Coturnix japonica: one gene and its partner. The protein of the gene in region 1 purifies or fractionates together with the protein of each later gene. This does not show direct contact. Links are inferred from orthologs where the notes say so. Each region holds a gene or a part of one and is shown on either strand. Other genes may lie near its edges.

Evidence for each region.
Region 2: the proteins of protein argonaute-1 (region 1) and DICER1 purify together in Homo sapiens (co-immunoprecipitation; 7 studies listed by BioGRID and IntAct, with this or other methods). This does not show direct contact. The link is inferred for Coturnix japonica from reciprocal best matches to the Homo sapiens genes AGO1 and DICER1.

What each region holds. Positions count from the first base shown.
Region 1 is NC_029538.1:3,733,230-3,737,566, reverse strand, and holds the start of protein argonaute-1, read left to right. Parts: upstream 1-1,361; 5' UTR 1,362-1,466; coding exon 1,467-1,491; intron 1,492-4,337.
Region 2 is NC_029520.1:41,574,007-41,577,824, forward strand, and holds part of DICER1 (endoribonuclease Dicer), read right to left. Parts: intron 3,495-3,818; coding exon 3,315-3,494; intron 2,967-3,314; coding exon 2,753-2,966; intron 2,342-2,752; coding exon 2,188-2,341; intron 1,565-2,187; coding exon 1,382-1,564; intron 1,083-1,381; coding exon 977-1,082; intron 886-976; coding exon 710-885; intron 472-709; coding exon 1-471. UniProt on the Homo sapiens protein: Double-stranded RNA (dsRNA) endoribonuclease playing a central role in short dsRNA-mediated post-transcriptional gene silencing.

The DNA of each region.
Region 1 (4,337 bases):
CTCAATCAGGTGTTAAAACACCACTGCAAACAAGAAAAGAGAATAGGATAATAGTGCAGGGAGCGTTGACGTTCAGGACTGTTGCTTGGTGATAACTATAAGATCAAGGTTTTGGTAATACTGTCCTATGCAGGTCTGAAAGCTGAGTCTGGAGGTTGGGCTTGGTGATCTGAATTGTGATGCATGTGTCAATCAATGGGAAGATGTGCATTCTGTAGATGTAGTTTTTAAGGTGTTTTCGTTTCGTTTTTGTTCTTTTTTTTTATATATATATATAAATAAAGCCTGTTGGCCACTGTTTAGCTCTGTGGTGTGGAGGGTTTTACATGTAGCAACGTTTAAAGAGTCGGGGAATGGGGATGGTTGATATTTAATACAAAATAAAAGGGGCACGTTTGTTCAACAGACCCTACCCCCCCAATCTACCTTTGTGGATGTGCTGTAGGATTTTTCTTGCTCAATAGCAAGGCAGCAGCTCTGCTTTCATTTTCGGAAGGCAGAGTTTGGAGGGCATTGTATCAATACTGTTTCAGCTGCAAGGTTTGATTTTTTGTTTCCTTGTGCATTTGAGGAAAGACCTTGTAATATCACTTCCAGGTTTTCTTACACCTTGCTATTGGCGTTTCCATATTTCTATATGTCTAGAGGCTGAAACTTCAGTGTAAGATGTTTGCATTCGTTCCTTTTTGCCCTACGGTGTAATTTTCGTTTCTATATTGTTAGACTTGTAACGTTGGAGATGGTTATTTGCTGAACTTTGGGCTGGGTGTCTGATAGCAATACGAGGTACTCATTGGAAGCTGTTCTGGGTGGGATAGCGGCCCCATGTTGCGATACGATGCCGGTTGTGTACAATTTGCAATGTATTATTCTATGATTCCGATGATTTCTTTGGATTTTTATTTGGATTTTTAGCCTGCAGGGATATTTTGTGTTCATGTGTCCGAAAATAAAAATAAAAAACAATGATTAAAAAAAGAAAACGGGGTGTTCGTGTGCTCAATGCTGGTCATCCTTTATGTTTAATAATCATGCAGTGGGTAACCTAATTAAGGTGCTTTATATTGATTAACTTGGCATTGCAACTTGTGTTGTGCACAGCAGGTTGTGATGTGAAGCATTGAACCAACACAACGCTGCTGGCTGCTGCTTTAACTGAGCCGTATTATTGAGCCCCATTTGGGGTCTGGATGGTTATAAGGTGCCGTTTGGGTCGCGGTTCTGTCCCTTATTGGGTCGGAACCGGCTCGGAACCATCGCATCAGCCCTGAGGTGACGCTCCAAGATGGCGGCGTTGGCGGGGCCGTGGGGCGCCGCCTTTGTTGGGCGCGGGGCCGGGCGGCGGCGGCGCGTGCGCAGTAGGGCGCAGCGTGAGGCGGCTGCGGCGGTGCGGTACCGGCCCCGGCCCAGCGCCCCGGCCCTGCGCTGCCCGCGGCCCGGCTCGGAGCGGCACCCGCGTGGATGGGATGGAAGCGGGACCTTCGGGAGCAGGTGGGGAACGGGGAGCAGAGAGGGGAGTTTGCTGAGGGGGGAACGGGGAGGGAGCGCGGCCTACGGAGGGGGATGCGGGAACGTGGCTGTGAGGCGAAGGGGGGCCGCGCCGCTTCCAGGGCCTGGATGGACGGGGGATGTGGAGACGGTGCGGGGATGTGTGGGGCTCTGCACCGGCACACGGGGCTCATAGAGCCGCTACGGGGCTCTGTCGGGTTGGAAGATGAGCCGGGCCGGGCGGCATCCCACCTCAACACATCCCATCCCACCTCAAAGACCATCCCATTCCCACCTCAACCCATTCCATCCCACCTCAACACATCCCATCCACCTCAACACATCCATCCCACCGCAACACCATGCCCATCCCACCTCAACGAACATCCCATGTTCCCACCCTCAACACACCCATCCCACCTCAATACATCCCAATCCCACCTTCCCAAATCCATCCCACCTCAACACATCCCATCACCACGCAACCATCACCATCCCACCTCAACACATCCCATCCCACCTCAACCCATCCCATCCCACCTCAACCCATCCCATCCCACCTCAACACATCCCATCCCACCTCAACACATCCCATCCCACCATCACATCCCGTGTGGAGCTGCCCATGTCCGTGTGCTGGGTGTTTGGGGTCGATTTATTGTTGGTTGTGTGGAGGATGAGGTCCGGAGCACAGTACTGGGTCAGTAGGGTGAGAGCTGTGCTTCAGCATCCCCTGCTGTGTGCTGGGAGCCTCCTGCTCAGCCCAGCTGTGTGTACCGGGATCATAGAGCACATAGGGGAATGATTTGCTGAGCGTGAGATGGCCTGGAGAGCAATACATGGAGAGCAGTGTATGGGGAGCAGTACATGGGGGGCAGCTTTGAAGCCAGACTTGGTTTCTCCCCAGCTCTCCGTGCTGTTCATCCTTTGCAAGTTTCCTTAACGCTTATAGGCTTAACCGTTGTGTCCCTGTGCAGCTCCTTGTGGATAAACCCACTGCTGGTTCTGGCTGTTGGATCCCTGTATGGTGTGATCACATCGGTGTGTTGCTGGGATAGGATTAAAGTGAGACACAAAGCCTGGAGCAGCACTTTGCCTGGAGGCTGAGCACGTGTGGTTCATCCCTGAGTGCTTTCCGTAGTCTATCTCTAACCCCAGCAAGAGATAAACGATGGGAAGGAGGACAGATGGGGCAGAAAAGCAGTGCTTTAAAGCAGGATGGAGTCAGCTGTGTGTGGGTTTGAAGCTCCCTTTGGGGATAGGTCTGGACTGTGGGGTGTTCACCCCATGGACAGGGTGTACCCTCATAGATGGGCACGTGGAACATGAAGCTGTTTGCCTTTGTCCTGGCTCTTCCCCAGGAGCTGGGAGGATTTCTTTGTCTGTCAGCTGCACTTTCTTCTCTTGTGCTTGGAAAGGCTACACCAGCGTCTGTGAAACTCAGCCTGAACAGATGGGAGAGATGTTATCTTATGGCCTTTCTAGGTGCTGTTAGCAGAAACCCTGGGGCTCACAGTCAGCGAGGAGACGTTGTGGATGAGTGGAGTAGAGAGCAGTGCTGGCTGCCAGGCCCCGGCCCTTCACTGCAGACACAAATGTGTGTATTTCCAGCTCTGCCAGCTGCTGTGAGCTCCTGCACATGGCACAGCCGGGTTAACAGCCTGCAAAGCTCTAGTTGGGCAGCCCTGATGGGTTTAGTGCCACTGCTGCGTGTGTTGGTTCACAGTCCTTATTAACAGCTGCATGAAGCAGCCTTGCCTGTTGATGAGAGCTGTGATGGAGCTGGGAATGTTGCTGCTGTTCTGGCTTTGATGCTGGTGCTGTTGCTTGCTTTGCTTCCTGCTGGGAGTTTTCACTTCTTAGGGTTGATTTAAGGTGGAAAATGGCTCAGGATGAGGTTGGGCTGCACGTTGTGTCTGGGGGCTTTTGTCACACACATTCAGCCCTGCTGCTCTGGTTCTCAGCTCCATCTTCACAGTGCTGGCTGTGCAGGAGGGGCCCTTCAGTCCCTCTTTGGTGATAAAACTCCCTTTTGTCTCAGCCTGTTCTGTGGCCCCTCTCCTGAATGCCGCCTTGGAGAGGATTTAAATGACATGGTAATTTCACGCCTTCCCACCGGTGCTTTGGCCCAGGCAGCTGTTGGTCAGTGGCTTGTGTTTGCCGGCTGTTAGAAGCAGCAGCAGCAGAAACAAAGCTGCTCCCAACGCTGGTGACCCCATATGGACTCAGCCTGGCATTGCTGCCATCCCTGCCCGCTGCTGCTCTTTCATGCACCCAAGGAAGGCCCTGCTGCCCGCCGTGTCCCCAGGCCATGGCTTTGTGTGCCAAAGTCTGTGATTCCTCCCGAGCTGCTGAATTTATAATGGCAGGCGGATTTTGTACCGCTCACTGGCTGCATTGTGCTGCAGGAACAACACTCACCCTGCAGCCCCTGGCCCTCGGCGCCCTCATTTACATCACAAAGTGGGAGTCTGTGCAGCTTTGCCATGGAGAGTCGAGGTATGCGGAGAAACCCCTCAGTCTGGGGATGTTGGGGTCACTCTTCAGTGGGTGACTGCTTCAACTCCTTGTGATCGAGGACCTCTGCAGTGACCAAAATGAAACCCTCTGCTGCAGCACAGACAGCAGCTTTCCCATCCTTGTCACCGCTCTGGTTTGCTGCCCTCATCTTTGTGGAGCTGTGCTCTGCAGCAGGGATGTCCGGATGACTTACATTGCATTCACAACATTCCGTGGCTTATGTTGAACTCCTCAGCCAGCTCTTGTGTCGCTTGAGGCTGTCTCCTTAATCTGTGCCTCACAATCTCAATGGTGAGGGCTTGTGCTCGTAAAACATCTGGAAATCTTCA
Region 2 (3,818 bases), on another chromosome or scaffold:
TTTCCATCAAGGTATTTATTACTCAGTAGAGTACATTCATTGCTGGGCTTGGGCTGGTTCTCACTGCTGTATAAATTCTGAATGGGATATGAGGTAGTTGGTTGTACAGGTATTTCCTGCCTGCAGTAATTCAGCTGATTTCCTTGGCAAAAGTCTCTGTTAACTAAATCACAATTGCCATTGGCAAGATTTTTATTATAAGAAACACCATTAATTGCTGCAAGTTCTGCTGAGACATCAATTTGGAGTTTACTGGGTGACTCATCAAGCAGTGTTCTGTAACTCACAGACATTTGGTCATGTTTTTCTGCAGAAGAGGTTCTATTAGCACCTTGATGTGCAGCATTTTCAGGGACTACAATTGTGCTGTGCTTACAGTAATTTTCATTCTCTACCAAAGAGGAGCTAGGTATGGAGATGAAAGATTTGCTGTCAATAGATTTTTTCCATCCGAAGTCCAGGTTAGGATATCTGTGAAGAGAACATGTTGGCGTTGTTAAGAAGATTATAGATAACTACATGCACATACTTGTTAAAAAGTGAATTTAGATGCTGTAGTCACTATTTCCAATCAAGTCTTTAATTATCAGTGTCACTGACAAGTGACTTGAGTTAAACAGAGACTATCAATCTCAAATTCTCACAGCAGTTAAGTCTTCCCCTTGTTTTCAATGAAGTCAGATTTTAAACATACTGAAAAAATACAAACCTGAAATCTGCAGGAAGTGATTTAACCCCTACACCAGCATCAGTGGCTGTTTGAGCTCTTAGTTCCTCTGCTGTCAAAAGGCAGTGCAGGCGATAAAGTATGCTGGGGAGGCAAACTGCTTTTCTCCACAATGATGCTGGAATAGGATGTATAGCACATAGCTCAGGAACCAGTATCTGGGACGGGAAGAATATAATTATATTTCTAAGGGTAGTCTCCAGGATACTGTTAATGCAGAGGCAACTTGAATTAATACTTGTATTTTACCTGCTTATTCTGCAGACTTTCCCATTTTGCTTTCCTCTTCTCAGCACTGCTCAGTGGAAGCGCTTTCCCCTTCTGATTCAAATGGCGAGGAGTCAAAAGATTAAGTCTAAAATACATGTGAAAACAGTCTAATGTAAGTATATTATTAATAAATAAAACTTACAAGCTTAAACTTTCTGAAGTGACGACTTGTTCTTAGAATTCACCTGTAACGCATTATGAAGTGGAAAAAAAAGAATAAAAGCAATATACAACTGTAACTTGAGTGTAACATATGCAAGGTATCACCAGAGAAAAAACAGTATTTTGGAAAGCACAAACCTTTAACTTTATCACATAGGGGAAAAAGAATAGCATTTTGTTGTTGTATTTCAAATATCAAACAGAAATATGATTGTTGTTTACCTTGAAGATGTGTGGTCCACATCCAGCAGTGGCTGGTTGAGATTGGTCAGGTCAAGATTATATTTTGTTTTATAATATTCAGCAAAAGTTTCATATTCAGGGGAAGGGAATTTGCTGAGTGGAGTAAGATCAGTGTATACATCAGCTACATAGAATCGATGAGGCTGATCAAAATTTCGATACCTAAAAAAAAGAACAGTGTAGCATGTTTTATCCTTAGAGTAAAGCTTGTGGTGGTGATTTCTTGATGCTTGAATGTGATTAAGTGAAAAACCATTAAATAACTCAATTTAGGGCTTTTATTTTCAAACACTAGTTAAATAAATGAGGGTTTAACAACTTCAAAATCAAATATACTGATAACAGTCTGAAGAGTAATTCTGCAAATGATGATTCCTTAATTCCAAACACCAATTACACTTGCTAACTTTGCTTCTTTTAATCTGGTTTCCTATTTGTGCTAGAGTCAGTAGAGTTCAGAGAATCAAAGTTCCCATACAAAAAATGTATTCTATCCACACTGGCAAATAAGCTTAAAATTCAAAAATTAAAATACCTAATATAGTAAATCCACCATAGCCTTCTAAGGAGAACACAACTATTTTAATAGAGATACAATGTTAGAAAACTGAAGCCAGGATTGTGAAACACCTTTTAGTGATGCTCACTGGATACTACGTGAAAATCTGAAATTCTTTGCTGAAGAATATGTTGTGTAATTAAGCTTTCACAAAATCCTTTTTTTCTTATCTCATTCACAGCCATGCTTATTTTGTAGAATGTCCAAATAGATCCTTGCTACTCACCGTGGAATGATAACTGCATCCTGGTAGTCTTCTAACTTGAAAATAAAAGGCATTTCTTTTGTATACTGTGTACTGGGAATGCCTGTACGCGCTTCAGACTTTTCAATGTCTTCCATAAACTTAAAGTCAATGTCCAAAGTGCTGGAGTCATCAACTTCAAAAAGGAAAATGTATAACACAATTATTCACAGGAAAGTTTTTCAGGAAGAGTTTTTCTGACAAGTTGTAAATTACAACTTCTTTTTTCTTATCCAGTGTGCTTTCTTATTCTATATTTCTATTTTACTTGTGATAAATATATATATACACACATACAAAAATATATGTGTACGATTTTACACCTTTATTGAGTCAACTGGAATTTGCTATAAATCAACTCACATCACCAAATTAAATCTAATTAAGAATTGTGAATAAGAAATAAAAAGAATACTGACATAAGACTTCATACTACCACATACGACATTATTTCAGCAGTTAATCTCTGAAATTTAAAATAAATATTAAAAAATGTTTTGCTAAAAGAATTAGAAGTGAATATTTAAAAAAGCACCTCTGTTCTTACCAACATTAAGAGGTAGAACACAATAGGCTGAATCAGCTTCTGTGGGTTTGAACTCTAGTGCAGGTTTCTCAAGACGAAGAATATGTGAGAAAATGTACTGGTGGAGTCGTGTTATCAGCTCAAGCATTTGCAAAGACAGAGTAAAACCAGATTTCTTAAGCTCAATTGATATTGTAACCTCTCCAGAGCGAGTATACACAGGAAAGTGAGGAATCTAAATATGGGGAAAAAAAATAATCAAAAAATCAAAAGTGAAAAATTCAGAATAGGATTCCTCTACAGAGTACTAGTTACACAGTTCAGACATTTGTATGTAAAGACTGCTGCTAACACTTTGCTACCACAATAATAATGACAGAAAGTCTGCCAGCTGTTTGAAACATCACTCATGTCCAGTTGGAAGGGACACACATCAAGACCTCTGAGGTCTAAGCAAAAGTTAAAACATATTAAAGTCATTATTCAGACGTCTCTTGCCTTTTATGATCATTTCCAACTCTTCAGCTTGGAAAAATGAGATTGTGAGGCACATTAGATAAAATAAAGGAGCTAAATTCATTACCTGAGGTATTGGTTTGGCTGTCAATATGCCAAAACATCTCGTCGTATCTTCAGGAGGATATAGCTTTCGTCTCCTAAAGTTGAGCTCATCAGGCAATGGAGTAGTTAACACCATTCCTATTACATACAAGTAACAGGGCTGATCGGGTTTGGGATAACTATCCCTCAAACATTCTGGAATCTAAAAAACATAAAATAGAAAAACATTAGCATGATTAAATCAGCAAAACTAACCTAAACGCTATTCTTTGAACAAACATCCCTGTGCTTATTTGGTAAGGTACTGCTAAAAAGGAGGAATAAGAAAATTAATTTAGACTTACATAAGCTCTTTCTTACACAAAAACATCTGATCAGCAACATGGCCTGGAACTGTGGAGCTCATGTCATCAAAAGAGAATAATGCTCCCAGATCTTCCTGTTTGCTAAGGGAACTTAGCACTACACTACACCCCTAACCATCCACTATGTTAGAAACATAAGTCTAACTATACAATACAGACAT